2 linked regions of the Callithrix jacchus genome follow. The protein of the gene in region 2 interacts with the protein of the main gene of each other region in a pairwise test. Links are inferred from orthologs where the notes say so. Each region holds a gene or a part of one and is shown on either strand. Other genes may lie near its edges. The genes, in order: APOC1 and APOA1.

What was found.
Region 1: the proteins of APOA1 (region 2) and APOC1 interact in a two-hybrid assay, tested with the Homo sapiens proteins (2 studies listed by BioGRID, with this or other methods). The link is inferred for Callithrix jacchus from reciprocal best matches to the Homo sapiens genes APOA1 and APOC1.

The regions. Positions count from the first base shown.
Region 1 is NC_133523.1:39,117,068-39,132,762, forward strand, and holds APOC1 (apolipoprotein C-I), read left to right. Parts: upstream 1-6,854; 5' UTR 6,855-6,886; intron 6,887-7,025; 5' UTR 7,026-7,045; coding exon 7,046-7,103; intron 7,104-7,852; coding exon 7,853-7,997; intron 7,998-9,958; coding exon 9,959-10,016; 3' UTR 10,017-10,132; downstream 10,133-15,695. Other genes in the region: APOE (apolipoprotein E), read left to right, coding at 352-1,072. UniProt on the Homo sapiens protein: Inhibitor of lipoprotein binding to the low density lipoprotein (LDL) receptor, LDL receptor-related protein, and very low density lipoprotein (VLDL) receptor.
Region 2 is NC_133511.1:16,465,834-16,481,444, forward strand, and holds APOA1 (apolipoprotein A-I), read right to left. Parts: upstream 9,769-15,611; 5' UTR 9,595-9,768; exon of another isoform or gene 9,566-9,594; intron 9,341-9,565; 5' UTR 9,321-9,340; coding exon 9,278-9,320; intron 9,091-9,277; coding exon 8,934-9,090; intron 8,353-8,933; coding exon 7,761-8,352; 3' UTR 7,693-7,760; downstream 1-7,692. Other genes in the region: APOC3 (apolipoprotein C-III), read left to right, coding at 2,693-2,822, 2,957-3,080, 4,799-4,916. UniProt on the Homo sapiens protein: Participates in the reverse transport of cholesterol from tissues to the liver for excretion by promoting cholesterol efflux from tissues and by acting as a cofactor for the lecithin cholesterol acyltransferase (LCAT).

The sequences.
Region 1 (15,695 bases), on a different chromosome or scaffold from region 2:
CTTCCCTAGCTCCTTTGTATGTGTGTATGGAAAGAGAGACAGGGAGATGGGGTTTCACTGTGTTTCCCGGGCTGGTCTTGAACTACTGGGCTCAAGCGATCCTCCCGCTTCGGCCTCAAAGTTCTGGGATTAGAGGCGTGAGCCACCTGGCCCCTTCTTCGTCTCTGCCTCTGCTCTCTGCATCTGTCTGTCTCTGTCTCCTTCTCTTGGCCTCTGCCCTGTTCCCCATCTCTCCCTCTTTTTCAGGTCTTTCTGGCTCATCCCCATTCCACCTGCCCTCACCCCAGCCCTTCTCACCCATCCCCACCCCCGCCTTCCCCTGTGCGCACACCCTCCCCCTCTCGGCCGCAGGGCGCTGATGGACGAGACCATGAAGGAGTTGAAGGCCTACAAGTCGGAGTTGGAGGAACAGCTGAGCCCCGTGGCAGAGGAGACGCGAGCCCGCCTGTCCAAGGAGCTGCAGGCGGCACAGGCCCGGCTGGGCGCGGACATGGAGGACGTGCGCAGCCGCCTGGCGCAGTACCGCAGCGAGGTGCAGGCCATGCTGGGCCAGAGCACGGACGAGCTGCGGGCGCGCCTCGCCTCCCACCTGCGCAAGCTGCGCAAGCGGCTCCTCCGCGACGTCGATGACCTGCAGAAGCGTCTGGCCGTGTACCAGGCCGGGGCCCGCGAGGGCGCCGAGCGCGGCGTCAGCGCCATCCGCGAGCGCCTGGGGCCCCTGGTGGAGCAGGGCCGCGCGCGGGCCGCCACCGTGGGCTCCTCCCTGGCCAGCCAGCCGCTGCAGGAGCGGGCCCAGGCCTGGGGCGAGCGGCTGCGTGCGCGGATGGAGGATGTGGGCAGCCGGACCCGCGACCGCCTGGACGAGGTGAAGGAGCAGGTGGAGGAGGTGCGCGCCAAGCTGGAGGAGCAGGCCCAGCAGATGCGCCTGCAGGCAGAGGCTTTTCAGGCCCGCCTAAAGAGCTGGTTCGAGCCCCTGGTGGAAGACATGCAGCGCCAGTGGGCCGGACTGGTGGAGAAAGTGCAGGCCGCCGTGGGCGCCAGCGCCGCCCCTGTGCCCAGCGACAATCACTAAACGCCCAGGCCTGCAGCCAGGGGACCCCACTCCACCCCGTGCCTCCTGCCTCCGCTCAGCATGCAGCGGGAGACCCTGCCCCCGACCCAGCCGTCCTCCTGGTGGGCCCTATAATAAAGACTCACCAAGTTTCACCGCAGCTGCTGGCCTCCCTGTGTGATTTTCTTTAAGCTCCAGCCTCAATTTCTCTTTCTGCCTGCACACTGGCCACACAGTTCTCAGCCCATCCTTCCCCTCTGTGTCTTAGACGGAGTCTGGCTCTGTCACCCAGGCTGAAGTGCAGTGAGTGGTTCGATCTCAGCTCACTGCAACCTCTCCTTCTTGGGTTCAAACGATTCTCTTGCCTCACCTTGGGTTCACGCAAATCTCATGTCTCAGTAGTTAGGATAAGAGGCTGGCACCAACACACCTGGCTAATTTATGTACTTTTAGTAGAGACGAGGTTGCACCATGTTGGCCGAGCTAGTCTTGAACCGACCTCAAGTGATCCACCCACCTCAGCCTCCCAACATGCTGGGATTACGGGCATTAGCCATCGTGCCTGGCCTCTGCCCCTCTTTTATTTCTACTCCCCTTTTTCCTTTTTCCAAAACAAGGTCTCACTCTGTTATCCTTGATCACAGCTCACTGCAGCCTCCACCTCCTGGACTCAAGTGATTCTCCTGCCTCAGCCTCTCCAGTAGCTGAGACTACAGGCGCACACCACCAGGATTAATTTGTGTGGTGGGTGTGGGTGTGGGTGTAGATGGGGTCTGGCTGTGTTGTCCAGGCTCATGTGGAACTCCTGGGCTTAAACGTTCCTCCCACCTTGGCCTCCTGAGGAGCTGGGACTACTGGCTAGCACCACTGCACCCGCTTATTTACTTTTATTCTTTGTAGAGATGAGAGGTCTCACTATGTTGCTCAGGCTGGTCTCCAACTCCTGGGCTCAACCGAACTTCCCCCATCGGCCTCCCAAGTGCAAGTGAGTTGCTGTGCCAGGCCTGCCCATCCTAATAACACTGGCTCCTCAAGAGTTGCAACCCCAAATGAGCTGAGACTGGTGCCTTTATTCTGAAGCCATTTTTATTTTTTTCTGCTGTCTTTACTCTCCCTCCTTCTCTCCTCCCGTCTTTTCTGATTTCTGCCTCCTTCCCGTCTCCTCCCCCCTACCCCCACCCCCACCCCCCACTGTCTCTCCATGCTCTCCTTAGGAGATGTCATTTTCTGGCTTCCTGTTTTCCTCCACCTCTATCTTTTATCTCTCCCTCCTACAGTTTCTCTCTCCCAGGCCTGCTTTCTTTCCCCCCTCCCTTCTGCATCTGGGTTTGTCCCTCCGCCACCGGTTTTGTTTGAGCCCCTTGCTTCTCCAGTTCCCTTCTAGCTAGCTGTCCCTTCACCCACTAGGAACTGGGCTTCCCTGCCCCAACCCTCATTTTCTTTCCTTTTTTTTTTTTTTTAACAGAGTCTCCCTCTGTTGCCCAGCCTGGAGTGCAGTGGTGCAATTTTGGCTCACTGCAACCTCCCCTTCCCAGATTCAAGCGATTCTCCTGCTTCAGCCTCCGGAGTAGCTGGGATTTCAGGCATGCACCACCACACTCGGCTAATTTTTGTATTTTTGGTAGAAATGGGGTTTCAACAAGCTGACCAGGCAAGCCTCAACCTCCTGATCTCAAATGATCTGCCTGCCTCAGCCTCCCAAAGTGCTGAAATTACAGGCGTGAGCCATCTCGCCCAGCCTATCCCTCATTCTCCATCCCTTCCTCCAGCTGTGATGTCCACCTTTCATGTTTCCCAACAAGCCTACCGGGTGCTGAGTCCAGGCTGGGAAGAGAAGGGAGCAGCTCCTTCTATGGAAGGCTGCCCCAGGTGCCACGCTGAGATGAGATCCGCGCAGAGCAGATCACCTGAGGTCAGGAGCTGGAGACCAGTCTGGTCAACATAGTGAAACCCTGTCTCTACTAAAAATACAAAAATTAGCTGGGCATGGTGGTGAGTGCCTGTAATCCCAGCTACTCAGGAGGCTTTGGCAGGAGAATTACTTGAACACAGGAGGCTGAGGTTGCAGTGAGCCGAGATCGCGCCACTGCGCTCCAGCCTGGGGGACGAGAGCAAAACTTTGTCTCAAAAAAAAAAAAAAAAAGAGTTGGCGCTCAGAGAGGGGAATCTTGGATGAAAGCCTAGGAGCCGCCGGCACTATCCTTCCCTCCCACCCCCTCAGTTCCCAGAGATGGGGAGCAGGGTTCCCACCAACGGGGGACAGGCCAGAACTTGAGCTTGTATCTCGTGGGCCAGCTGCAACATCTGCACGTTCCTCTGCCCGTCGTGCACACTCCAGACGCGGTGCTTTCCCTGGCGCTGCTCCAATCACCCCTGTGGAGGCAGCTCTCCTCCGCCAGAGATGACTCACCAGGTCTGCGTGAGGAGGGGAAGGGTCAGTGTGCTCACAGGCAGGGGGCCTGGTCCGCTGGGCCTGCTGCTGATTCACTGTATGTCCAGGGGCTGGGGCAGCACCCAGATGTCAATGAGGGGAGCAGCATCAGCCCCATCTCCCACTTGAAGAGTCGACCCTTGAGTTCTCATGTATAAATAATTTTTTTTTGAGACAGTGCCTTGCTCTGTCACCCAGGCTGGAGTGCAGTAGGGTGCTCACAGATCAGTGCAGCCTCCAACTCAAGTGACCCTCCTGCCTCAACCTCCCGAGTAGCTGGGACCACAGGCACCCACCACTATGCCTGGCTAACTTTTTTTTTTTTTTTTGAGACAGAGTTTCACTCATTTCCCAGGCTGGTGTTTAATGGCGCGATCTGACCTGACTGTAACCTCCACCTCCTGGATTCAACGGATGCTCCTGCCTCAGCTTCCCAAGTAGCTGGGATTACAGGCATGTGCCACCATGCCCGGCTAATTTTTTGTATTTTTAGCAGAGAGCGTGTTTCATTATGTTGGTCAGCCTGGTCTCCAACTCCTGACCTCAAGTGATCCACCCACCTCAGCCTCCCAAAGTGCTGGGATTACATGCATGAGCCACCACACCCAGCCAGATTTTAAAACTTTTTGTAGAGATGGGGTCTTACTACGTTGCCCAGGCTAATTTCAAACTCCTGGGATCAAGCAGATCCTCTTGCCTCAGCTTCCCAAAGTGGTGGGATTACAGGTGTGAGCCACTGCACCCAGCTGACCTGTGAAGACTTCTAAGCAGACTGGGCGCCCTATCTCACCACATCTGTGGTCAGATCTAGAGTTGGGACAGGGATGGGAAGGAGGTTCCAGAACAAAGGCCGGCAGGGAGTCCTACGGGACAGGAGTTGACCCCGGCAACCATCCAGAGAGACATCCCGGATCCTAGACGGAGACAGACAAAGAGCTCCCTCTTTATATTTATTTATTTATTTATTTTTTGGGACTGAGTCTCACCCTGTCACCCAGGCTGGAGTGCAGTGGCACAATCTCAGCTCCCCACAACCTCCACCTCCCAGGTTCAAGCGACTCTCCTGCCTCAGCCTCCCGAGTATCTGGGACTACAGGCTTGTGCCACCATGCCCAGCTAATTTTTGTATTTTTACTAGAGACGAGGTTTCACCATGTTGGCCAGGATGGTCTCCATCTCCTGACCTTGTTATCTGCCCACTTCGGCCTTCCAAAATGCTGGGATTACAGGCATGAGCCACCACGACCAGCCTATTTCTTTATATTTTTGAGACAGAGTCTCAGTGGTGTGCAGTGGCTCAATCTCAGCTCACTGGTGAGACAAAGTTTCACCATGTTGGCCAGGCTGGTTTCAAACTCCTGACCTCAAGTGACCCGCCCACCTCGGCCTCCCAAAGTTGTGGGATTACAGACGGGAGCCACTGCGCCCCCACAACTCCCTCTTTGTCCCTCGCTGAGCCCTACTGGATGTTCTTCATTGTGTGTCAGTTTCCCCATGTATAAAACAGAAACCCCTATAGCAGAGGGTGGGAGGATGAAAGGCAGGAGCTTTGCAGTTCTATTCTTGTGGGGTCAGGAGGTGGAAAAGCAGGAGCACTGCTATTCTATTCTTGTGGGGTCAGGGAAGCAGACATCTGGGTGGATGTCTGGGGACTGCTGGGCTCAGTTGGGGAAGTAGGGGGCCCTCTGGGGCTGACAGGGACTGGAAGCTCTGAGCTGGCCAGAGAGATGTTGCAATTCTGCCAGGGTCTTGTCTATGCGTCCCTTTCACAACCATCCCCCTACCGCCAGGCTGACACGTGGTTGTGGGGGCACAAGGCCAGCCAACCTAGAGTTTGAGGCTGGGCCGAAGCCACCCTCCCCACTAGCTGCCAGGGTCACTGGCGGTCAAAGGCAGCTGGTGGGGAAGGCATTGGACTCCAGCCCAGGGTGACGGATGTGGTGATGGGGGGAAGTGGGCTTGGTGCCAGGAGGGGCCTCAGAGGGTGAATAACAGTAGATAGAGTGTTGCGGGGAAGTAGCCAGGCAAATGGGGTGAGGCCCGGTGGAAGGAGGAAGGGGCATACATTTAAGCTTTACAGCTGAGGGTTTTAATTTTTTGAGATGGGGTCTCACTCTGTCCACTAGTCTGGAGTGCAGCAGCAAAATCATGGCTCACTGCAGCCTCAAACTCCTGGGCTCAAGCAATCCCCCCACCTCAGCCTCTTGAGTAGCTGGGACTACAAGCATGCGCCACCACACCTGGCTAATTTTTAAATTTATTTGTAAAGATGAGGTCTCTCTATGTTGCTCAGGCTGGTCTTGAACTCCTAGGCTCAAGCGATCCTCCCACCTCAGCTTCCCAAACCACTGGGATTACAGGGATAAGTCACCACCCCTGGCCAATGCAGGTGAGGTTTTTGCAGTGTCATCCAGCTGAGGCATCCCCTTCCCCTCACAAAAAAGGGAGATTGAGAACCATAAAGTTAAGAGCCAAAAGCAGGTCAGGGGCAGTGGCTCATACCTGTAACCCCAGCACTTTGTGAGGCCAAGGTGTGTGAATGACCTGAGGTCAGGAGTTCGAGACCAGCCTGACCAACATGGAGAAACCCCGTCTCTCACTTCATCTACTTGATTAAAGAGAAAGGAAAAAAGAAGAAAAAAATAAGTAGAAACCCCGTCTCTACTAAAAATACAAAATTAGCCAAGCCTGGTAGCACATGCCTGTCACTGCAGCTACGTGGGAGGCTGAGGCAGGAGAACTGCTTGAACCCAATAGGCCGAGGTTGTGGTGAGCCAAGATCGTGCCATTGCACTCCAGCCCAGGCAACAAGAGCAAAACTCAGTCTCAAAAAAAAAAAAGCCCAGAGAATAAGAGGGTGGTCTAGGGGCTTTAAGGGCTGGTCTGAAAGAGATGGGAAGTGGCACTCAGGGTAGGAGTGTGGGGCCAACCTGGAGACCCCAGCAACATAAAGAAAAGTTGGGGCTGAGGAGGCTTGCTAAGAGAGAGGAAGTGGAGGGAAGAGGTGGTCTAGGGACACGGTGTGAATGAGGCGTGGATGAGCTCACAGGGTTATTACTGGGAGCCCCCTGAAGGAAGATGGCCATAGGGACAGAACCAGGCTGCCCTCTGAGTGGGGAAAGGGGCAATGGCAGTCTGAGGACGCCCCAGAGTCAGGAAGATTGGGAGGTGAGGGTGCTGAGGCTTTGGGGCTAAGGGAAGTGCCTAGGACCTCACCTGACCCCAACGCCCACGGGCCAGGGGCAGAGTAGAAACACGTGGCTAGGCAGAGGGAGGCAGGCGGCCAGGGGAAGGCGCAGGAGGGAGATCAGCATCAACCTGCCCCGCCCCCTCACCAGCCTGATAAAGGTCCTGCGGGCGCCGGGATCTCCCATCCCCACCCGAGCCCTCCAGCAAGGATTCAGGTTGGTGCTGACTGTCCGGGGGGGGGGACGCCCGCCTCCCCGCTGCAGGAACTCAAAAGAGGAGACGAGGGGATCGTGGAGGGAGGGAGGGAGGGAGAAGGGTGCCGCTGATCCCCTGCACCCCTGCCTCTGCCCCCAGAGTACCCCTCCTGCCCAGCCATGAGGCTCTTCCTGTCGCTCCCGGTCCTGGTGGTGGTTCTGCTGATGATCTTGGAAGGTAAAAGTGGAGTAGAATTGGGGAGTTGGAGATGTGGAAGAGTGATGGTGGCTACAGGCCTGGGGCCCCGGCTTAGAGAACCTCTGAGCGCTCCGGAGCCCTTTCTGGGTCGCAGTTGTCCCGTTGCTATCGGGTAGGTTGCTACAGGTTCTTCCAGGCTCAGTCCGGCAGGCTCCAAATCTGCCCAGGAGGGCCCTAGCAACCGATGACGTATTGACGCCCGTCCCTCTGGGACTGGCTGTCCTGCTTCTACAGCCCTGAAAGTGGGTGAGCGGGGCTGGGGGCTGGGGGAGGGGGTCAGCTGAATAAGGCAATGCTCAGCAGCTTGAGCCCCACCCGGTCACTCCAGTGTCCTCCCCTTTCTAACAACATGATCCCCAAGAATCTCCCGGTATCTTATCCTAAGGGGTTTCCAATAACAAATATTTGGCTGGGCGCGGTGGCTCACGCCTGTAATCCCAGCACTTTGGGAGGCCGAGGCGGGCGGACCACTTGAGGTCAAGAGTTCGAAATCAGCCTGGCCAACATGGTGAAACCCCGTCTCTACTAAAATACAAAACAATCAGCCGGGTCTGGTGGTGCACACCTGTAATCCCAGCTACTCAGGAGGCTGAGGCAGCAGAACTGCTTGAATCCGGGAGGCGGAGGTTCCAATGAGCTAAGATGCCTGGGCAACAGAGTGAGACTCCGTCTCAAAAAAGAAAAGAAAAGAAAAAAAGAATTTGCACCCCTGCCCATGTTCCTGGCAGGCCCAGGCCCAGCCCAGGGGGCCCCGGAGGGCGTGGACACCTCCAGCGGCTTCGATAAGCTGAAGGAGTTTGGAAATACAATGGAGGACAAGGTTCGGGAATTCTTCAACCGCGTCAAAGAGAGTGACATTCCTGCCAAGACTCGGTTAGAACCCTTCCCACTGGAGGGCTGGGTGTGTTTGGGTGGAGCCCTGGAGGATGAGCCAAGATGAACAGATTGAAAAAAAAAAAAGTCCCAAAGAGGATGACAACTTCCCTCTGGTCACACAGCTAGATCTCAAGGTGCTCAGACTTCAGGGACAGTTTCCTGAACTCCTATAAAGAAAGAAAGAAAGGAAAGGAAGAAGGAAGGGAAGGGAAGGGAGGGAGGAGGGAAGGAAGGAGGGAGGTGGGGGAGAAAGAAAGAAAGGAAGGAAGGAAAAATCTAGCTAGGGCTAAACTTGGAAAGATTGTTTAGAGGCTGGTCACAGTGGCTCTTGCCTGTAATCCCAGCACTTTGGAAGGCCGAGGCAGGTGGATCACCTGAAGTTGGGAGTTCAAAACCAGCTTAACCAACATGGGGAAACCCCATCTCTACTAAAAATACAAAATTAGGCTCGACGCAGTGGCTCACGCCTATAATCCCAGTACTTTGGGAGGCTGAGGTGGGTGGATTAACTGTGGTCGGGAGTTCAAGACCAGCCTAACCAACATGGAGAAACCCAGTCTCTTCTTTAAAAATACAAAAAATTAACCAGATTTGGTAGCACATGCCTGTAATCCCAGCTACTTCGGAGGCTTAGTTAGGAGAGTCGCTTGAACCTGTGAGGTAGAGGTTGTGATGAGACAAGATGGCGCCACTGCACTCCAGCCTGGGCAACAAGTGGGTAACTCCATCTCAAAAAAAAAAAAAAAAAGAGCCGGGTGCGTGGCTCAAGCCTGTAATCCCAGCACTTTGGGAGGCCAAGGCGGGTGGATCACGAGGTCAAGAGATCGAGACCATCCTGGTCAACATGGTGAAACCCCGTCTCTACTAAAAATAAAAAAAATTAGCTGGGCATGGTGGTGCGTGCCTGTAATCCCAGCTACTCGGGAGGCTGAGGCAGGAGAATTGCCTGAACCCAGGAGGCGGAGGTTGCGGTGAGCCGAGATCGCGCCATTGCACGCCAGCCTGGGTAACAAGAGTGAAACTCCGTCTCAAAAAAAAGATTGTTTGGAGGCAGAGCCAAAGGTCCTAAGGCACGAAGGCTGATAGATAATCAAGAGAGGGTGATATTTCAGGCAGGGGAACTGTCTGGCCAAAGGCAGTGAGGCTGGAAAGTACCTTTGAATGAGTAGGGGAACAGCTAGGGCAAGGGCAGGCTTGAAGAAAGGGTTGGTAGCAAGAGATGGCAGGCCTTAAAATCCAGGCCAGGGTGAAGAGGTAAAGTGTGTCTTTTTTTTTTTTGAGATGGAGTTTCACTGTTGTTGCCCAGGCTGGAGTGCAGTGGTGCAATCTTAGCTCATTGCAACCTGTGCCTCCCAGGTTCAAGCGATTCTCCTGCCTCAGCCTCCTGAGTAGCTGGGATTACAGCGCTGGCCACCATGCCTGGCTAATGATTCCTTCTGGGTTTTTGTTTTGTTTTGTTTTGAGGCAGAGTCTTGCTCTGTCTCCCAGGCTGGAGTACAGTGGCCTGATCTTGGCTCACTGCAACCTCCACCTCCCAGGTTCAAGTGATTCTCCTGCCTCAGCCTCGTGAGTAGCTGGGACTACAGCCGTGGGCCACCATGCCTCACTAATTTTTGTATTTTTAGTAGAGATGGGGTTTCACCATGTTTGCCAAGTTGGTCTCGAACTCCAGGTTGGAGACAAGTGATCTGCCTGACTCGGCCTCCCAAAGTGCGGGGATTACAGGTGTGAGCCATGCCCAGCCAAGGGTAAAGTGTTTAGCTTTCAATGTGCGTTGGTCTATCTGGGAAACTGAGGCACAGAAGTTGGCCCACACAGCCCAGCGGTCCTCCTAATCCCACAGACAATGAGGATGCAGATTCAGCAAGAGGAAGATTGGGAGTCAGGTGGCAGGTAGAATTTGGACAGCCTGGAAGGTAGCTGCACAAAGTGACTCCCTTCCTTATTCCTCCCCACAGGAACTGGTTTTCAGAGACACTGCAGAAAGTGAAGGAGAAACTCGGGATTGAATCATGAGCACCTGAAGGATGATACCCCAGGAGGGGGCTCTGAAATTTACCACACCCCAGTGCCTGTGCTGAGGACTCCCTCCATGTGGCTCCAGGTGCCACCAATAAAAATCCTATAGAAAATTCTGACTGCTTCCTCACTGTGGGGTAGGGGCTGCAGGAGAGGGTAGGGGCAGCATCTTAGGGACTCCTCACAAGCCTTCCACTGCTCAATCTATTTGCCTTGTGCTGAGGATGTTGTAACTCCATGGTCTCAAAAGAATCTTCCTAAGAACCTTGCAAACTGGGCCTTATTAATCCCAAAAGGGCATTGAGATCCAGAGAGGTGAATTTACTTGTATAAGGTCACGAAGCCAGGAACTGGAGACCTGGAACTGGATTGAACCCTCAGCCCGGCAATATCACTATGTTACACTGTCCTGCTGTGGTCTATCTGAGATGAGTAGCTGCGGGTGTTTTTGTTTTTGGGGGGTTGTTTTTGAGATGGAGTCTTGCTCTGTTGCCCAGGCTGGAGTGCAGTGGCACAATCTCAGGTCAGTGCAACCTCCACCTCCCAGGTTCAAGCAATGATCTGCCTCAGCCTCCCAAGGAGCTGGGATGACAGGCACCCACCGTGACGCCCAGCTAACTTTATATATATGTATTTTTTTTTTAATTATCTTTACTTGATTTTATTACCTTTTTTTTTTTTATGATGGGGTTTCACCATGTTGGTCAGGCTGGTCTTGAACTCCCGACCTCAGGTAATCTGCCCGCCTTGGCCTCCAAAGCGCTTGGATTACAGGTGTGAGCCACCACGCCCGGCCATAACTTCATATATATATATATACATGTTTTTTTGTTTTTTGAGATGGAGTTTTGCTGTTGTCACCCAGACTGGAGTGCAGTGGCACGATCTCAGCTCACCACAACCTCCGCCTCCTGGGTTCAAGCAATTCTCCTGCCTCAGCCTCCCGAGTAGCTGGGACTACAGGCGCGCACCACCATGCCCAGCTAATTTTTGTATTTTTAGTAGAGACGGGGTTTCACCTTGTTGACCAGCATGGTCTCGATCTCTTGACCTCGTGATCCTCGATCTCTTGGCCTCGGCCTCCCAAAGTGCTGGGATTATAGGCATGAGCCACCGAGCCCAGCCAACTTTATATATATATATATATATATTTTTTTTTTTTTTTAGATGGAGTTTTGCTCTTGTTACCCAGGCTGGAGTGCAGTGGCGCATTCTCGGCTCACCACAACCTCCGCCTCCTGGGTTCAAACGATTCTCCTGTCTCAGCCTCCCAAGTAGCAGGGATTACAGGCATGTGCCACCATGCCCAGCTAATTTTTTTTTTGAGACAGAGTTTCGCTCTTGGTACCCAGGCTGGAGTGCAATGGCGCGATCTCGGCTCACCGCAACCTCCGCCTCCTGGGTTCAGGCAATTCTCCTGCCTCAGCCTCCTGAGTAGCTGGGATTACAGGCACGCGCCACCATGCCCAGCTAATTTTTTGTATCTTTAGCAGAGACAGGGTTTCACCATGTTGACCATGATGATCTCGATCTCTTGACCTCGTGATCCACCCGCCTCGGCCTCCCAAAGTGCAGGGATTACAGGCTTGAGCCATGCGCCTGGCAACTTTTTATATTTTTAATAGAGACAGGGTTTCACTATCTTGGCCAGGTTGGTCTTGAACTCCTGACCACGTGATCCACCCACCTCGGCCTCCCAAAGTGCTGGGATTACAGGCATGAGCCACCACACCATGACTGTTTTTTTGGTTTTGTTTGTTTGTTTGCTTTTTTGAGACTAGAGTCTCACTCTGTCCCCCAGGCTGGAGTGCTGTGGCACGATCTAGGCTCACTTCAACCTCCGTTTCCTGGGTTCAAGGGATTCTCCTGCCTCAGCCTCCCTAGCAGCTGGATTACAGGCATGCACACCACACCTGGCTACTTTTTGTATTTTTAGTAGAGACAGGGTTTCGCCATGTTGGCCAGGCTGGTCTCCAACTCCTGGGCTCAAGCAATCCTCCTGCCTCAGCCTCCTCCCAAAGTGTTGGGATTACAGGCATGAGCCACTGTGCCCAGCTCTCATGTAAAATTAAACCACATAAACATGTGATACAACCCTATGTAATTAAGATTTCTTTTTTTTTTTTGAGATTGGGTCTGGCTCTGTAACCCAGGCTGGCGTACAGTGGCATGATCTCCACTCACTACACCCTCCGCTTCCCTAATTCAAATGATTCTCCTGCTTAAGCCTCCTGAGTAACTAAGATTACAGGCATGTGCCATCATGCCCAGCTTATTTGTTTAGAGACGGAGTTTTGCCATGTTTGCCAGGCCGGTCTGGAACTCCTGACCGCGAGCGATCCACCCGCCTTGGCCTCCCAAAGTGCTGGGATTACAGTTGTGAGCCACTGCACTCAGCTTAAGATTTCATAAGAAAAATATTTGTAAGCCACATATCTAATAAGGGATTCATATTCAAAATATATAAGGGACTTCTACAATTCTAGTGGAAACATCAAACACTGCAGCCACTGTGGAAAGCAGTATTCGTGTTCCTCAACGCATTAAAAATAGAACTATCAGATGATCCCGTAATCCCACTTCTGGGTGCTTATTCAAAAGAACCGAAATCAAGCCGGGCGCGGCGGTGCGTGCCTGTAGTCTCAGCTACTCGGGAGGCTGAGGCTGGAGAATCACTTGAGCCCAGGAGTTCTGGGCTGTAGTGCACTATGTTGATCGGGTGTCTGTACTAAGTTCGGCATCAATATGGTGACCTCCCGGGAGCAGGGGACCACCAGGTTGCCTAAGGAGGGGTGAACCGGCCCAGGTCGGAAATGGAGCAGGTCAAAACTCCCATGCTGCTCAGTAGTGGGATCGCGCCTGTGAATAGCCGCTGCACTCCAGCCTGGGCAACATAACGAGAACCTGTCTCTTAAAAAAAAAAAAGAAGCCGGACGAGGTGGCTCATGCCTGTAATCCCAGCACTTTGGGAGGCTGAGGCAGGTGGATCACAAGGTCAAGAGATTGAGACCATCCTGGTCAACATGGTGAAACCCCGTCTCTACTAAAAATACAAAAAATTAGCTGGGCATGGTGGCGCGTGTCTGTAATCCCAGCTACTCAGGAGGCTGAGGCAGGAGAATTGCTTGAACCCAGGAGGTTGCGGTGAGCTGAGATGGCACCATTGCACTCCAGCCTGGGTACCAAGAGCAAAACTCCATCTCAAAAAAAAAGAATTGAAATCAGTGGTGGGGCGCGGTGGCTCCCACCTGTTATCCCAGCACTTTGGGAGACTGAGGCCGGTGGATCACTTGAGATCAGGAGTTCGAGACCAGCCTGGCCAACATGGTGAAATTTTCCGGGCATGATGGCATGTACCTGTAATCCCAGGTACTCGGGAGGCCAAGGTAGGAAAATCGCTTGAAACTGGAAGGCAGAAGTTACAGTGAGTCGAGATTGTGCCATTGCACTCCAGCCTGGGCAACAAGAGCAAAACTCCATTTCAAAAAAATAAATAAACAAAGTTTGTGGAATGTGAATTATAACCAATTTTTCTTTTCTTTTTTTGTTTTTCTGTGAGGACGGAGTTTCGCTCTTGTTGCCCAGGCTGGAGTACAATGACACAATCTCGGCTCACTGCAACCTCTGCCTCAGTGATTCTCCTGCCTAAGCCTCCCGAGTAGCTGAGATTACAGGCATGTGCCACCAAGCCCAGCTAATTTTTGTATTTTTAGTAGAGACATGGTTTCTTCCCAACCTCAGGTGAAGCGCCAGCCTCGGCCTCCCAAAGTGTTGGGATTACAGGAGTGAGCCACCATGCCCGGCCATAATTCAATTTTTCAACATGCATTAGAAGGGACATTTGAAATTCTTCTTCACCCCATCCTCCCTGCCGTCATCCAGAGTATCTAGTCAGGGAATGGCTAGAGACACCAGATTAGCAGAGAGGTGAATGCAGGGATGAGAAGGATGAAGGGGATGAGGGGGTGGGATTCAGACCAGGGCCAGGCCCCAGGTGTGGAGAGAAAAAGATGAGAGTGGTTTTGGGGCTTAGTGACTTGAGCACAGAGTTGCAGGCTCAGAGGTACACAGGTCATTCAGGGCTGGCCCCGCCCCCTTCCAGCCTCTCAGTTCCCATTCTCCAGCAGCTGTTTGCATGCTGCCTCTGAAGTCCACCCTGAACGACCTTCAGCCTGTTCCTGTCCCTGAGATGGGCAAACATTGCAAGCAAGAAGCAAACAGCAAACACGCAGCCCTCCCTGTGTGCTGACCTGGGAGCTGGGGCAGAGGTCAGAGACCTCCCAGAACCATGCCACCTCCAACATGCTCTTGACCTCTTGGATTTTGGTGGAGAGGGGCAGAGGGTTGGGGAGTCATCGGTAAGTGGCTACGCCCCCACACCAAAGTTACTTCCTCATCTGTACGATCGAGAAAGGTGCCACCTGCCAGGCATGCTGGCTCACGCCTGTGATCCCAGCACTTTGGGAGGCTGAGATGGGTGGATCACTTAAAGTCAGGAGTTCAAGACCATCCTGGCCAACATGGTTAAACCCTGTCTCTACTAAAAATACAAAAAATTAGCTGGGCGTGGTGTCACATGCCTGTAGTCCCAACTATTCTGGAAGCTGAGGCAGGAGAATCGCTTGAACCCAGAAGGCGGAGGTTGCAGTCAGCTGAGATAGCACCATTGCACTCCAGCCTGAGTGACACCGTGAGACTGCATCTCAAAAAAAAAAAGATGCCCACCTGATAGGGCTTTTGTGGCAAATAAGTTCGTGGTGGCAGGTGCCTGTATTCCTAGCTACCCGAGAGGCTAAGGTTCTCATCCCAGCTACTTTGGAGGCTGAGGTAGGAGAATCACTTGCATCCAGGAGGTGGAGGTTGCAGTGAGCCAAGACCATGCCATTGCACTCCAGCCTGGGCAATAAGAGCAAAACTCTGTCTCGAAAAGAAAAGAAAAGAAAGAGGTAGAGTTGGTGGGAGCCGTGTCTCACGCCTGTAATCCCAGCACTTTGGGAGGCTGAGGAGGGTGAATACGAGGTCAGGAGATCAACACCAGCCTGGCCAACATGGTGAAGCCTCATCTCTATTAAAAATACAAAAAATAGGCCGGGTGCGGTGGCTCACGCCTGTAATCCCAGCCCTTTGGGAGGCTGAGGCGGGTGGATCACGAGGTCAAGAGATCGAGACCATCCTGGTCAACATGGTGAAACCCTGTCTCTACTGAAAATACAAAAAATTAGCTGGGCATGGTGGCACGTGCCTGTAATCCCAGCTACTCAGGAGGCTGAGGCAGGAGAATCACTGGAACCCGGGAGGCGGAGGTTGCAGTGAACCAAGATCACGCCATTGCACTCCAGCCTGGGGGACAGCGTGAGACTTCATCTCAAAAAAAAGAAAAGAGGGCCGGGCGCGGTGGCTCACATTTGTAACATGGTAAAACCTTGTCTTTTAAAAAAAAAAAAGAAAGAAAAAGAGATAGAGTCAGGCTCTGAACCCCACACCAAACTGGTTTTCATAACACAATACGTGGTAGGTTTGTTTTTGTTTTTTTATTTGGGGTTTTTGTTTGTTTGTTTTGGAGACAGGGTCACCCAGGCTGTAATGCAATGGCACAATCATAGCTCGCCGTAGCACTGAACTCCTAGGCTCAAGCAATCCTCCTACCTCCGCCTCCTAAGTAGCTGAAAGGACAGG
Region 2 (15,611 bases):
TGTACCTTTGCTTCCAGGCTAAGGATCAGTCTGAAGCAGAAAAGGGCATCCCCAATACCAAATCCTCCGGTGACCGCTTCATCACCTTCTCTACCCCACCACCAAAGCCTGCTGTTAGCAGGAGACTTGAGACAGATTTGTTCTGGGGATGTGACTGATGTCGCTATAGGGGCTCAGAGCTCTAAGCCATCTGGTACCTTCCAGGGTGTGTGAAGACCTAGATTAAGGTTCCCAGCCTTACCACTAATGGGCTGTGCATGTGGGTAGGTCTCTACCTCTTCAAGCCTTAGGTTTCTAACCTATAAAATGGAGTTAATATCTACTTCACATGAGTCTGATTACTTGCATTTTAACAGAAAACAAAGTCTTAAGTCAAAGGAATGAATCTCTCTCACTCTCAACCAAGTTTCACTCTGTCACCCAGGCTGGAGTGCAGTGATGTGATCTCAGCTCACTGCAACCTTCACCTCCTGGGTTCAAGCAATTCTCATGCCTCAGCCTCCTGAGTAGTTGGGGCTACAGGTGTGTGTCACCTACAGGCTAATTTTTTGTATTTTTCATAGATACTGGGTTTTGTCATGTTGCCAATGCTGATCTTGAACTCCTGGCCTCGAGTGGTCCGCCTCAGCCTCCCAAAGTGCTGGGATTACAGGCGTGAGCCACCATGCCCAGCCAGGAATGAATATCTAACAGAGGAATTCCAACTCTCAGCCACTGATAAAGCATTCTGAGGGCAGGGCCAGGCCACTTTCTCAGGCCTCTGATTTCACACTGTGGTGTTAATTGCTTCTTCTGAGAGGATGGCTTGCCAGAGCTCTATTTTATGTTGGAGACTCCTTCTGCCTGCAGACTCCGCGGTCTGGGAGGAAGGGAGGGATGCGCGAGCCCCTTGGTGGACCCACTGCTTTGTACATCTCTATCTCATTTCCTGTTCAGCACCACTCTGGGAAATCCGTATTCTGGCCCCATTTTATTCTAGAAAATTGAAGCTCTGAGATGTTACCTCTGTGGCCTGGGTCATATAAGTGCCTTGGATGTCCTGGCTCCAAGGTCTCAGCATCCAGAAGACAGGCCCCCTCATCCTGCCATCCCTACCACAGCTTCACTATGAGCCCAGGGGACATCTCAGCCCGAGAAGGGTTGGCGTTCCCTCCCGGACCACTGATGCCCGCAGAACTCCTCTGTGCCCTGTCCTCACCAGACCTTGTTCCTCCTGGGTGCTCCCACAGCCAGCGGACAGTGAGGGTTGCTCTTCTCCCAACCACACTGAGGAGCCCAGGAAGCCCAACCAGAGAATCAGTCCTGGGGCCTGGTTGGGGAGAGCCCCAGCCATGAGACCAGCTCCTGCCCCGGGGGATGTTATCAGTGGGTCCAGAGGGCAAGGCAGGGAGCCAGGCTGGCGGAGAGAAGGACAAAGGCCTTGGTTTCTGAGTGACCTTGGCCCTTCTCCACCAAACCCTGTCCTGAACTCAGCGGGAGATGGGGGTGGGCACACAGGGGACGGGGTAGTGGGGTGCTGCAGGGTGAGCAGCGCTCACCCACCTGGATTGAAACCCAGAGATGGAGGTGCTGGAGGGGGCTGTAAGAGCGCAGCCCTGTCACCGGGCCTTGCAGGGGCCATTGCTGCCTTCTCTTCCATGCCTTCCCTCCAGAAATCCCCCAGCCCAACCCCACCGCTTGTTCTCAGGTCTGAAGAAGCCCCTCAGTCCTCTTCAGGCTGTTTTCAGGGTTTGGGGTTGGCAGAGGGAGGGGCCTGAAATTCCAGTGTAAAGGGCTGAGATGGGCCCAAGGCCCCTGGCTATCCCTAAGCCATTTCCCCTCCCACCAGCCTCTCCCTGAGGAGCCAGTCTGCTAGGAAGGAATAGGGGGACTCACCAGGCCCACCCCCAGTTCCTGAGCCCATCCGGGACGCAAGGCTGGCGGGACAGCAGCATGGGCACAGTCTCCTAGGGATTTCCCAACTCTCCCACCAGTTGGCTGCATCCGGCCACCCTGCCTCAGGCCATGGTCTCGACTGGTCAGCAGGTGACCTTTGCCCGGTGCCCTGGTCATCAGTGCCCGCTGCCCTGGAGACAATATAAAACAGGTCAGAGCCCTCCTGCCTGTCCACTCAGTTCATCTCTAGAGGGAGCTGCTCCAGGTAATGCCTTCTGGGGAGGCGGAAGAGGAGGGGAGGAGGATGAAGAGGGGCAAGAGGGGCTCCCTGCCCAGCCTAGCCAGCAAGCCTGGAGAAGCACCTGCTAGAGCCAAGGACACCTCGGAGCTGAATGGGTGCCCCCACCTCTCACCATAACCTGAAGAAAATGGAGGCCTGGGAGGGTGTCACTTGCCCAAAGCTACATAGCGGGTGGGGCTGGAACTGGCTCCAAGTGCATGCCCCCCTCATTCTGCAGGCTTAGGGCTGGAGGAAGCCTTAGCCAGCCCAGGCCTACCCCAAACAGGGAAACTGAGACCTGGAGAAGGCCAGAAATCACCCGAAGTCACACAGCATGTTGGCTGGACTGGACAGAGAGCAGTCCAGACTGCAGATGCCTTGATGTCCAGGCTGGTGGGTTTTCTGCTCCATGCTGCCCACCTCCCTTTGGGCCTCGGTCCCCTGCCCCTCACCAGTCCCCCTTCTGAGAGCCTGTTTTAGCAGGGAGCAGGCCCATTCTCCCTCTGCAGACTCAGCTCAGGTTCTACCTTAGGGACCATGCCGCCTCCTCAGGGAGGCATGGAGTTCTGGGGTGCTCCTCACAGGACTCTTCCCTGCAGGAACAGAGGTGCCATGCAGCCCCGGGTACTCCTTGTTACTGCCTTCCTGGCACTCCTGGCCTCTGCCCGTAAGCACTTGGTGGGACTGGGCTGGGGGCAGGTGGAGGTGGCTTGGGGATCCTGGTCCCAATGGGTGGTCAAGCAGGACCCCAGGGCTTGACCAGAGGCCCATGCAGCCTGCTCAGCCCTGCTCTTTCCTCAGGAGCTTCAGAGGCCGAGGACACCTCCCTTGTCAGCTTCATGCAGGACTACATGCAGCACGCCACCAAGACTGCCAAAGACGCACTGAGCAAAGTGCAGGAGTCTCAGGTGGCCCAGCAGGCCAGGTACACCCGCCAGCCCTCCCTCCCCATCTTCCCTGCCGGCTCCCTCCATTCCCCACCGCCCCTGCCCTGGTGGGAGCCCAGCAGTGGAGCCGCGGTGCTCCCAGCCTCCCCTGGGCCTATTCCTCTTTGGCCTCCTCTTTTCTCACAGAGCCTTTGTCAGGCTGCTGCAGGAGAGATGACAGAGTCGGGACTGCATACCTCCCAGTCCCTCTGTGCTCCCCAGGGCAGCCCTAGGGCGGGCCATTTTTAGCCCTTATTTCCATTTTTCTTCCCCCTTTTTTTTTTTTGCTTCTGAGATGGAGTCTCACTGTCACCCAGGCTGGAGTGCAGAGGCACGATCTTGGCTCACTACAACCTCTGCCTCCCAGGTTCAAGCAATTCTCCTACCATTCTCCTGCCTCAGTCTCCCAAGTAGCTGGGATTACAGGATTACAGGCACATACCACCACGCCCAGCTAATTTTTGTATTTTTAGCAGAGACGGGGTTTTACCATGTTGGTCTGGCCAGTCTTAAACTCCTGACCTCAGGTGATCCACCCACCTCAGCCTCCCAAAGTGCTGGGATTACAGGCATGAGCCACTGCACCTAGCCCCCCACTTTTTTTTTCCAAAGGTCTGTCTAGAGCAGTGGTCCCCAACCTTTTTGGCACCAGGGACCAGTTTTGTGGAAGACAATTTTTCCATAGACTAGCGGGTCTGGTTTGAGGGTGAATGAAACTGTTCCACCTGAGATCATCAGGCCTTAGATTCTCATAAGAAGCGCTCAACCCAGACCCCTCGCATGCACAGTTCGCAATAGGGGGGTCAAACTCCTGTGAGAACCTGATCTGACAGGAGGCGGGGCTCAGGCGCTAATGCTCGATCCCCAACACTCATCTCCTGCTGTGCCGCCCAGCTCCTAACAGGCCACAGACCAGTACCCGTCTGTGACTTGATGCTTGGGGACTCCTGGGCTAGAGGTTGGCCTTGGGAGGCCTCACCTGACCCACCTGACCCAATTCTAGCCTGGGCGTGAGAGCACTTCTGCCTTGTTCCAAGAGCTGAGGCCCGTGTGAGCAGAAGCCCATCCTTCTCTCCCATCCTGCCTTCTCTCTCATCCTGCCACTGCTCACCGGTCCTCTCCTCTCCCCCACTCCCTTCTCCACCTCACCCGACTGGCATTGGCGGGCATAGCAGAAGTGTGCTTAAATATTCTTAGTCCTCAGAACCCGCCATGGGGTAGGCGCTATTTTCCCACTTTGCAGATGAGAAAATTAAGGCTCACAGCAAGTAGGTGACCTGCCTCAGATCACACGGCTAATTAATCCTCTAATGACTTTCCAAATGAGAGGCTGCCTCCCTCTGCCCCACCCCACTTAGAGCCACCAGGATGTACAACTCCAGGGGGTGCTGTTTGCACAGAAAAACAATGACAGCCTTGACCTTTCACATGTCCCCACCATGTCACTCTGTGCCTTAGGCCCAGGGGTACAAACATCATCCAGATGTGACCTGGAGACAGCAGAGTTGGACTTGGCTGGGGTCCCTGGGAGGGTATCTCTTCTCCCAGGCTGGCGGCCGTGGGTGATTCCTGCCTGAGATCTCTGGGCTGTTGTCAAGTGAGGTTGAGAGGGTGTCGGGGAGAGCCAGTGGGGACATGGGTGTGTGTCCCATGTTGCCTATGGAGGAGTTCTCACGCCCCCCCCCCCCACCTCCATTGCTTCTCCTTACTGATTTAGGGACTGGGTGACCGATGGCTTCAGCTCCCTGAAAGACTACTGGAGCACCATTAAGGGCAAGTTCTCTGAGTTCTGGGATTCGAGCCCGGAGATCACAACTCTGGCCGAGGGTGTCTGAGACCTCAACTCCACAAGTCCACCTGCCTGTCCATCCTGCCAGCTCCTTGGGTCCCGCAGTCTCCAGGCTGCCCCCACAGGTTGCTTAAAAGGGACAATACTCTCATTGCCCTCCCACTCCCCATCATGCCTGGCCCCCTCCAGGCATGCTGTCCTCCCAATAAAGCTGGACAAGAAGCTGCTATGAGTGGCCCGTCGCAAGTGTGCCATCTGTGTCTGGGCATTGGAAAGGGCTAAGGCTGTTCTGTGGGTGGGCACTGGCCAGCATTCTGTCCACTTCCTGGTAGCTGGGCGGTCTCTGGACCTCATTTTCTTCATCTCTACGGTAGGAATCATCCTCCGTACCCTGCCTTCCTTGACAGGTTTATGTGGAAGACCAAACAGGACAATATATTTGCTGATACTTGATAAACTGTTAGGTGCTGCTCAACATGACTTGAGTGGGTGCCCTATGCCAGCCACTATGCCTGGCACTTAAGTCCTCATCAGAGTTGAGACTGTGTGTGTTCACTCAAAGCTGTGGAACTGACCTCCCCTACCCAGGCCACCTGGCAGGTACAGGTGAGGGGAGGAGGCCGGATGGGCTCGTGGCTGGAGTAAGATGCAATGAGGCACTAGTCTTGGCTCCACCACTTGACATCAGCCTCAGTTCCTTACATGTAAAATGGGTACGACAGTACCCCCTCCACTTCAGGTGTGTCATGAGATTGAAATGAGAGTGTTCAAACCATTTGGCCCAGCCCCTGCATGTGAAGATGCCTGATAAATGTTGTCATCATTATAGTTGAGCTGACTGGGCCCTTGGGACGCAGCTTGGAGTGGCAGGGGGCAGTGTCCTGGAATCCAAAAAGGAGCACAAGGTCACACCAACAGAGGGGGCCTTCGTGTCCCCACCACCTGAAAGATGTCAGGCCAGAGAGCTCTAGAGCTGCAGATGGCTTGAGTAGGCCTCCACTCCTCAGATGAAAAAACTGAGGCCCAGAGAGGCGAACACAGTTGCCCAGCACCACAGAACCAGCACGTGGCAGGGCCAGACCTTGAGCCCAGGTCAGCCATGTGTATTCTGCTCAGTTGATGCAGAAAAGTTTTGTCACTTCTGTGTCAGGTGTTAGGGGCTTCTTTACAGATCTCAGTGGCATCAGTACCTCCGGCCCCACCTGAAGACTGCTTTCTCTCTGGAAATTCCCTAGGGCTTCTCTGCACCGAGAGATCTCAGCACCCTTATCTGGAAAATGTTCCCACCCAGACCTGGCTGTCTGTCTGCTGTAGCTCTGGAAGATTAGGAACTAAAGAGCTGACTCCTTTTTCCAAGGGGTAGCTAAGATACACTGGAGATGGGGCTATGGGGACGGGGCAGATTACCCAGGGGCCTGCATGATGGGGCAAAAGGTCCTGCAGAAAGAGGGCAGGGAAGGCTCTATGGGTGCACTGCCCAGATCTGTGGAGCCATGTGCATGCACGCGGGGACATTCAGACATGGGTGCACAGAGGGACTGTGAGCAGGGAGGTCACGTGAGAATATGCAGGCATGCCTGCACACCCATGTGAACTTGCGTGCTAGGCCACACACTTCTTTTTTTTTTTTTTTTTTGAGCTAGAGTCTTGGTCACCCAGGCTGGAGTGCAGTGGGACAATCTCAGCTCACTGTGACCTTCGACTCCTGGGTTCAATCGATTCTCCCGCCTCAGCCTCCCTAGTAGCTGGGATTACAGGTGCAAGCCACCATTCCCAGCTAATTTTTTGTATTTTTAGTAGAGACAGGGTTTCACCATGTTGGCCAGGCTGATCTCAAACTCCTGGCTTCAAATGATACCCACCTTGGCCTCCCAAGTGCTGGGATTACGGGCGTGAGCCATTGCACACAACCCATACACTCTTAATCATGGATGTCGAGGAGCGCAGGGTCTAAATAGGGTTGCCTAGCCCATCCTGCTGTTCACTGGGCAAGCAACATCCCATCTTAGGGCTTCAGCATCCTCATCCACGCTGTGCCATGGCAATCTACACAGGATGTGGGGAAGGGAGGATGCAGTGAGATCACAGATATGAGAGCATCTTGGAAATAAAAATGTACCTGCAAGAGGTGGTGGTGATTTTTCTGACCCAGGTCAGCTTCTGTCAGAGCTAGCAGAAAGACCGGGTGGCACCGCATGGGGCCGCAGGGGGCGGGGGGCTGGCTTCCACTGCTGTGCCTGAGGATGCTGTGGCTATTGCTAGGTGGGATGGGAGGAGTGGGAGGGAGATTGTGAAAAGGGAATTGTCTGCTTGACAGGTTTTTGAATTAATAAAGGAGTATAGGCGCAAACTCCAAGCACTTCGCTGTACCTGGCCTAACCTCTGTCCCAGTTGCTCCCTGAGGCCGCTCTGCCCCCACCCCTCTGAAAGCGGCTCTGTGTGGGAACACCTCTGGGGACTGGGAACCCCACTGCCCCCAGGTAAAGTAACCCTGTTTCCTGGCCTGTCTCGGACAGGGATGTAGGCCTCGTTTGATCCTCTTTCAGGACATTTGGCCTTGGATTGTCTGTGGCTTTGGTGGTCCGCTGTGACTTCCTGTCTACTTGAGCCTTGCTAAGGCAGACTCTACTCCCTCCCTCACAAGCAGCCAGGCCTCCAGCAGGTCCTCCAGCATCCATCTTGGCCCTAAGAGGCTCGGTCTGGGCACGGAGTTGTTGAGATCCGGCTGGAAGTCCTTGGGCCAGGGCCAAAGGCCCCACCCGGGCTCCCCCGATGTCCCGCCCCCCCCCGCCCCCTTTATTCTCCCAAAAGAAAGAAGCTGCTTCCCACTTTGGAAACGTTTATTCTGAGCACCGGGAAGGAGAGCGGCGGCTGGCGCCTCACTGGGAGCTCAGCTCTTGGTGTACTCCTCGAGCGCGCTCAGGAAGCTGGCCTTGAAGCTCTCCAGCACGGGCAGCAGGCCTTGGCGAAGGTCCTCGAGCAGGGGCTTGGCCTTCTCGCCGAGTGTGCTCAGATGCTCGCTGGCCTTGGCGTGGTACTCGGCCAGGCTGGCGCCGCCGCTCTCCTTGAGCGCCTCGAGGCGCGTGGCCAAGCGCTGGCGCAGCTTGTCGCTGTAGGGTGCCAGTTGTGTGCGCAGCGTGTCCACGTGGACGCGTGCGCGGTCGCGCACCTGCTCTCCCAGCGAGCTCAGCTTCTCCTGCAGATCCTGCAGCTTCTGGAGCGCGCCCTCCTGGAGCTCCGTGCGCAGCGGTTCTAACTTCTGGGAATAGAGTTTCATCTCCTCCTCCCACTTCTTCTCGAAGTCGTCCAGGTAGGGCTGCACCTGGGCCTTCACCTCCTCCAGGTCCTTGCTCATCTCCTGCCTCAGCACCTCTGTCTCCTTTTCCAGGTTTTCCCAGAACTCCTGGGTCACCGGGCCGAGCTGTTCGCGCAGCTTGTTGACAGTGGAGGTCAAGCTGTCCCAGTTGTCCAGGAGCTTCAGGCTGGACGGGGAAACACAGTGGTTGAGGGCTGGCCTCCCAGCGCCCCAACCAACCCGGGGTGAGTCCTGGGCGACACCTGTCCGCGAAGGTGCAGTGGCCTAGAGTTTCAACACTCTCAAGCAACACCTCTGCCCTGCCCTGCCATGCCCCGTTGTGCAGCTGGACCGAGGCACAGAGAGGAGCTAAGAAAGAGACAGAGCTGGGACTGGTGCCCAGTTCTCTGGTCTCCAAAATGGGCCCTTGAAGGACCTCACCTCTCTGCCTCCAGCATATTCTCCTCTCCCAAGACAGCCCACACTTTTGCTGGGCAGGAGCAGAGGAGGTGACGAAGGGCAAGGGGGCTGCTGCACTTGTAGGCACAAGCTGGCGTTGTTACCACAGATCAGGCAGCCCTGGTCTGACCTTTGCAGGGGGCATGGGCTGTGACTCTGCCCGGGGCTCCCATTCCGGTCTCTGCATCCAGACCATTTGTGGGGCCCAGCTCGTCAGATAGTAGGTGAGGACTCACCAGTCTGGATTCAACATCTTCCCACAGGCCTCTGCCCCCTGCCCCTGCCCTCAACCCCAGGCTGGGTCCTTACTTTAGCTGTTTTCCCAACATGGAGCTTTCAAACTGGGACACATAGTCTTTGCCGCTCTCTTTGACTGAATCCACGTACACAGTGGCCAGGTCCTTCACTCGATCCCAGGGGCTCTGGGGAGGTTCATCTTGCTGCCAGAAATGACGAGCCTGGCTCCCTGAGGGTGGGAGGGGAGACTCAGATCAGGCCAACTGTGGGCTGGGATCTGAGCCAAAAGGCCAGGCTTGGAGATGGGAGAGAGGGGGCCAGTGAGAAACCTGCTGCCTCTGCCCAGGAGGGTGAGCCAAAGGGGTTTAGGGAGAAAGCCCCCCAATGGTTGGTTCCCTAGGCTGGGGGACACCTACCCGTCAGGAAGAGCATGGCCAAGGTCAGCACCGCAGCTTTCATCCTGAAGGGCTGTGGGGGACCTGGAGGAGAAGAAGGGCCTGGCTGAGTGGCGGCAGGAGGGGTGTGTCTCTAGCATGCTGAAGCCCCCTGCTCCCCCCACTCATTACAGCCAGGTGAGGAGAATGTGCACAGAGTGGGAGAAGACCTCAGGTTCCCAGAAGCCTGGCTTGGGGCAGAGCCTGAACCTCGATGCCTCGCCTCGAGCTGGGTAGCCAGAGTCACCCGGGACAGGCAGCAGCACTCACCTCCTTCTTGGGCAGGCAGAAACACTCACCTTCTTCTGGAAGACTAAGTAGCCAGCTCTCGCAGGGCCTATTTATGTCTGCAGCCAGGGGCTGGGCAGGGAGACAGATAAGCCCAGCCTGGGCCCTGCTGCTGCTCACTGGTCCTGGCGATGTGGAACTCAAGAGTTCAAGGATCAGCTCTGTCCCTGGGGAAGGGCAAATACAGTGGGCAAACAGCGAGCTGCCGAGCTGCAGGGCTGCAGGGCAGGGGTCAAGGGTTCAGTGGGGGCGGGAGGGGAGTGGCTGCAGGCTTGCAGGTCTCCAGGGTGGGGTCGGGGTTCCCTGCACTCATCCCCTTCCCCTCCATGGGAGTGTGTGGGCGGTTGCCATTGTCCATTGTGCTGGCAGAGGGGAGGGGAGGGACGCTGGGACTCCTCCACCCAGGAGACCTCCTCCCCCACCATCCTGCATTCCAGGGAGACTACATCACTCCCACCCCTCTTCCCCCACCCCTTCCTCCCACCACTGTGCTTCTTTGGTCCCCAGCAGGTCCTGCAGGCCTCTCTCCAAGTCCCCCAAATTGGTAAACCTGGGGAGAGGGGAGAGGGCTCTGTGGTACCCAGACTGAGGTTTCAGAGACCTCTTGCCTTTCAAAACACAATAGAGACCAATCCAGAGCTGCCAACTTTTAATTTTGTCATGTAAAGATATCGTCTGCCTCCAAAAACCCTCATGTCTACCATGACCATCACTTCAAAAAGGAAAGACTTTAGCAAAAAAAAAAAAAAAAAAAAGGGGGGGGCATAACCTCAGAATAACATTGCAGAGTTGAAGTCCCTTAGAGTGAAGACGCCTTCCTTTGCATTGTTCACACATTTGATGATACACAGGTGAGACGATATCCTAGCCCTTGGAAGCCCTGGTGTGGGAAGAAGACCCCTGGGCAAGGAAGTGGCCGGAGACCTGCTTTCCCGTTTTACTCGGCCTCCATCTTGCTGGAGGAAGACAGTGGGCAAGTTATGTAATCTCTCTGAGCCTCAGTTTCCTATCTGCAAAATGGGGCAAGAATGGTCAGAGTTGTCAGAGGCCCCCGAGACAGCCTGTGAATGCATCCGTTGGTGTTTGCAGCACCATCTTGTAAGGTTTCTCCGGGAAGGCCCAGACCTCCCACAGCAGGTTACTGACAGAACCTGAGTCCTAGAGCCTGTGATGCAGGCTGAGAGGAACTGTGAGATCACTCCAGCCTCTCCCAACACCACCGTCTCACAGATGAAGAGACTGAAGAGCATGAAGGGACTTTGCCCAAAGGCTCTCATCTCTCAGGGAGTTAGAAGAAAGGCTGGACCTAGAACCCGGTCTCTGGACTTAGGACACATGGCAGAAATGTACCCTGCACCTTCAGCCCGGGAAACTCTAGAAACCAGCCTGACGTCTCTGTTTACCAGATCGGGGAGTGGTCGGCCTCATGCCTTTTATTTCAGAGAAGATTCTGGAGCCAGAAAACCTTAGATTTGATTCCCAGCTCTGCCACTTATTAGCTGTTTGACCCTGGATGAGTTATGCTATGTAACCTCCTCACACATAGTTCCTGATTGAAGATAATGATAGAACATGCCATCGCCCTGAGTTATGGCCGGGTTACTGTGTGGATAACATCCCTGAAGATTCCTCATCCCTGGAACCTGTGACTTTGCTACCTTCCATGGCAAAAAATGATTTTGCCAGTGTGATTAAGGACCTTGAGATGGGGTGGTTAGCCTGGATTCTTCAGGTGGGCCCATTGTCATCTCGGGGGTCCTTAATTATGTAAGAGGGAGGCAGCGGAGTCAGAGTCAGAGAAGGAGGGGTGGGGTTGGCAGCAGAGGTCAGACTTGGGACTGCTGGAAGAGGGGCATGAGGGAGGGACATGGGCAGCCCTTCTCTAGAAGCTGCAGAAGGCAAAGGATTTTTCCCTGCAGCCTCCAGAAGGAGCACAGTTCTGCTGCCACCATGATTTTAGACCAGTGTGACCCATTTTGGACTTCTGGCCTCCATAACTGTAAGATAATAAATGTATGTTGTTGTAAGCATGAAATTTGAACGTATATGCAAAACTGTTAGAAAGGTATCTAGCACTTAGTAAGTAGTAACTATTCTGTTTTCTAGAATCCCAGTTTCTGGTATTCTTTCCTTTATTCCCACGACACTTGCTTTACCACACCTGAGACCTCAGCTTCTGCAGCAGGCATGAAGGGAGGAATCCCACTTTTCTCTGCTTGGCCTTGACTTGCAGTTGCTGAAATATGGGACATCTTTTCCAGGACTGAAGTGGCCCCAGATGTCTGTGGGACTGTGCAGAGAGGGAGGTGGCCTTAGTGAGCCGTCAGCCTGGGCTGCCTACTTGGCCATCCCAGCTGTCTGTAGCTTTAGAAAGTGGGAAGGTGGCTGGTCCCCTGCGGGGACAGCTCACAGATTTCTCAGGCCAAGAGAGGGTCCTTTCTTTTGGGGGTTAGAGTCTATCCCAGCTAGCACTTGGGGGAATCTCAGAAGCTTACTGGTTGGACTCCAAGATACTTGCCAGTGTTTTTTGTCTTTTGTTTTTGAGGCAGAGTCTTGTTGCCCAGGCTGGAGTGCAGTGGTGTGATCTCGGATCGCTGCAACCTCCGCTTCCCAGGTTCAAGCCATTCTCCTGCCTCAGTCTCCCAAGTAGCTGGGATTACAGGAATGCACCACCATGCCCAGCAAATTTTTTTGTATTTTTAATAGAGACGGGGTTTCACCATATTGCCCAGGCTGGCCTCAAACTCTTGACCTTGTGATCCGCCCGCCTCGGCCTCCCAAAGTGCTGGGATTACAGGTGTGAGCCACCGCGCCCGGCCCTACTTGCCAGTGTTTTACTCTTTTCTTTGGTTTGTTACTAAAGTGATTGTTATGGCTAAACCTAATACTTACCATTTGCACAGTTCTTTAGTGGCCAAAGTACTTTCACAACTTAGAATGTCCCTGGAAGGCTGGAGGCCAGATTTTGCCTTTGTCATTTTGCCTGTGGGAAAACTGCAGTTCAGAGCTGCCCTGCATCCTTCAGCTGTTACTAGTTAGCGCTGGCAGGGGTGGGAATTGGGAAAGCCTGGCTTCTAGTTCTTTGAGGGTGGCCTTGCAGCCTTGCAGAGCCTGCAGCCTTTGCAGTCTGTTCAGGGACTGCTCAATTTCCTGGCTCAGGGACTGCAAGGCATCAGGATAGGGGGTACTGTTGAACAGCATCTTACCAAGCAGGGAGTATTTTGCTTTTATTTTTATTTATTTTTTTTTTTTGAGACAGAATTTTGCTCTCGTTGCCCAGGCTGGAGTGCAATGGCGCGATCTTGGCTCAATGCAACCTCCGCCTCCTGGGTTCAAGCGATTCTCCTGCCTCAGACTACCGAGTGGCTGGGATTACAGGCATGTGCCACCACGCCTGGCTAATTTTGTATTTTTAGTAGAGACAGTTTTCTCCATGCTGGTCAGGCTGGTCTTGAATTCCCAACCTCAGGTGATTTGCCTTCCTTGGCTTCCCAAAGTGCTGGGATTACAGGCATGAGCCACTGTCCTTTTTTTTTTTTTTTTTTTTTTGTTCTTTTTTTCGAGACGGAGTTTCGCTCTTGTTACCCAGGCTGGAGTGCAATGGCATGATCTCGGCTCACCGCAACCTCCGCCTCCTGGGTTCAGGCAATTCCCCTGCCTCAGCCTCCCGAGTACCTGGGATTACAGGCACACGCCGCCGTGCCCAGCTAATTTTTTGTATTTTTAGTAGAGACGGGGTTTCACCATGTTGACCAGGATGGTCTTGATCTCTCGACCTCGTGATCCACCCGCCTCGGCCTCCCAAAGTGCTGGGATTACAGGCTTGAGCCACTGCGCCCGGCCCACTGTCCTTTTTTTAAATATACTTATTCACCAGGAATGAAATTCACTTCATTTCATTGCAAGGTATTTGGCTGAAACTAGACCAAAGCCCATTTACTAATATTTTGGAGAGAAAAGAAGTCTTTCTGGACAGAGCCTATGGAAAAACTAACTACCACCAACTGGGCTCATGACGGACTCAGACTCAGGGTCTAGCCAGGCGTTGTTCGAGGTGCTAAGTGCCCATAGGTTGGGATGTTTAGTAGCTGCAGGGCCCCCATTGTAGGCCCCTATTTCCACCCACTTCTTTTCCTCATCTTGGGAGATTCCACTGCTCCTGACCTGGTCACCAAGTCCTGGCTCTGGATGCCCTGAAGTGTGGGAGTGTTGACAGCTACTGCACGAGTGGATTTTGCACAGAAAGATTAGCGACTCCTTTCACAATTTATGCCCCAGTGTGCTGGCCAGTCTGCACTGGGAGGACTCTGTCCCCTGCTAGGTCTTGCACATAAAAGACACCCGCCAAACATCTGCTCAGTGAATGGCACTGGCATGCTAAACAGAGGGTCACCAGCCTGGTCGTAGGGAGGCGTGGTCCTGGGAGAGGAGGCAGCCACATACCATCCCTGCTCAGAACATTTCTTCTGGGAGCATGTGGCGTGGGCCAGAATGAGACTCAGGGAGGGGAGGTGCTGACTAAGCAGGGGAGACAGGACTCCTAGCCCCAGTATTTCCTATTCGGCAATTTTGCTGCAGCTCTTGTGATAGAGCCCCAAGTTAGACCCTTGGGCGGGGCACTGCCACCAACTAAGCAAGATTCTCTCCTGCCCTCCTCAGGGGACTAAGGCCAGGACAGAGCTCATCTTTGACCAGCAGGAGGGAGGCCGCCCTCTGAATTCTTTATCTTTGTAGCTGGTGTGGGGTGGGGGCTGGCACAAAGTCAGAAAGAAAACTGGGTAGGAATCTGTCAGCACAGTTCCTGTTTTCTGGAGCTGAGCTCTCCAGTCTGTATCCAGGAGCCAGTGCTCTGCTTCCTCTAGAATCTCACCCTACCCCTGGTCCAAAAGGCACCCTGGCTGATTTTTTTTTTTTTTTGAGACGAAGTTTCGCTCTTGTTACCCAGGCTGGAGTGCAATGGCGCGATCTCGGCTCACCGCAACCTCCGCCTCCTGGGTTCAGACAATTCTCCTGCCTCAGCCTCCTGAGTAGCTGGGATTACAGGCACGCGCCACCATTCCCAGCTAATTTTTTGTATTTTTAGTAGAGACAGAGTTTCACCATATTGACCAGGATGGTCTTGATCTCTTGACCTCATGATCCACCCGCCTCGGCCTCCCAAAGTGCTGGGATTACAGGTGTGAGCCACAGCGCCCAGCCCACCCTGGCTGATTTTAGGAGGGAGTGGCACTTATTACAACAGGTGCTACAATTTGTTGGATGGCATCTGGGTGTGATCACTGTTTGGGCCTAGAGACTCACCTAGTCTTGCATGAGAGCATATTACAGACTCAGGAGTTTCAGAAGACCCTCCTTGAGAAGGCTCTTTTCTATTCTAATTTAAATGGCTCTACAGCCCCCCATGGACTTGAAGTCTTTCTTTTTTCTTTGCAGAAGTGCAGTGGTGTGATCATGGTTCACTCACTGCAGCCTCAAACTCCTGGGCTCACACGATTCTTCAGCCTCAGCCTCCTGAGCAGCTGGGACTAAAGGCATGTGCCATCAGCCTGATTAAGTTTATTTTTTGGTAGAGGTGGGCTCTTGCTATGTTGCCTAGGCTGGACTTGAACCCCTGGGCTTACATAATTCTCCTGCTTCAGCCTCCTGAGCAGCTGGGATTACAGGCGCATGCCACCATGCCCAGCTGGCTTTCTAAATTCTCTCTTGTTCTTCCTTCCGTGAACTCAGATGGTGTTTCCAGCTTCAGTGAGTTTTCTTCATAGACCTTCAACCAGCTGTCTCTTAGCGATGCCTGGGACCTTGCTGGAAACTCTACCCTGCCCCTTGGAGTTCAGTTATAGAAAAAGGAGAAAACTATAGGAAAATTCACCCCGGCTTCTTTTTTCTTTTTAAGATTCTTCCTCTGTTGCCCAGGCTGGAGTATAGTGGCACATTCTTGGCTTGCTGCAACCTCCTGGGTTCAAGCCATTCTCTTGCCTCAGCCTCCCGAGTAGCTGCAGGCACATGCCACCATGCCTGGCTAATTTTT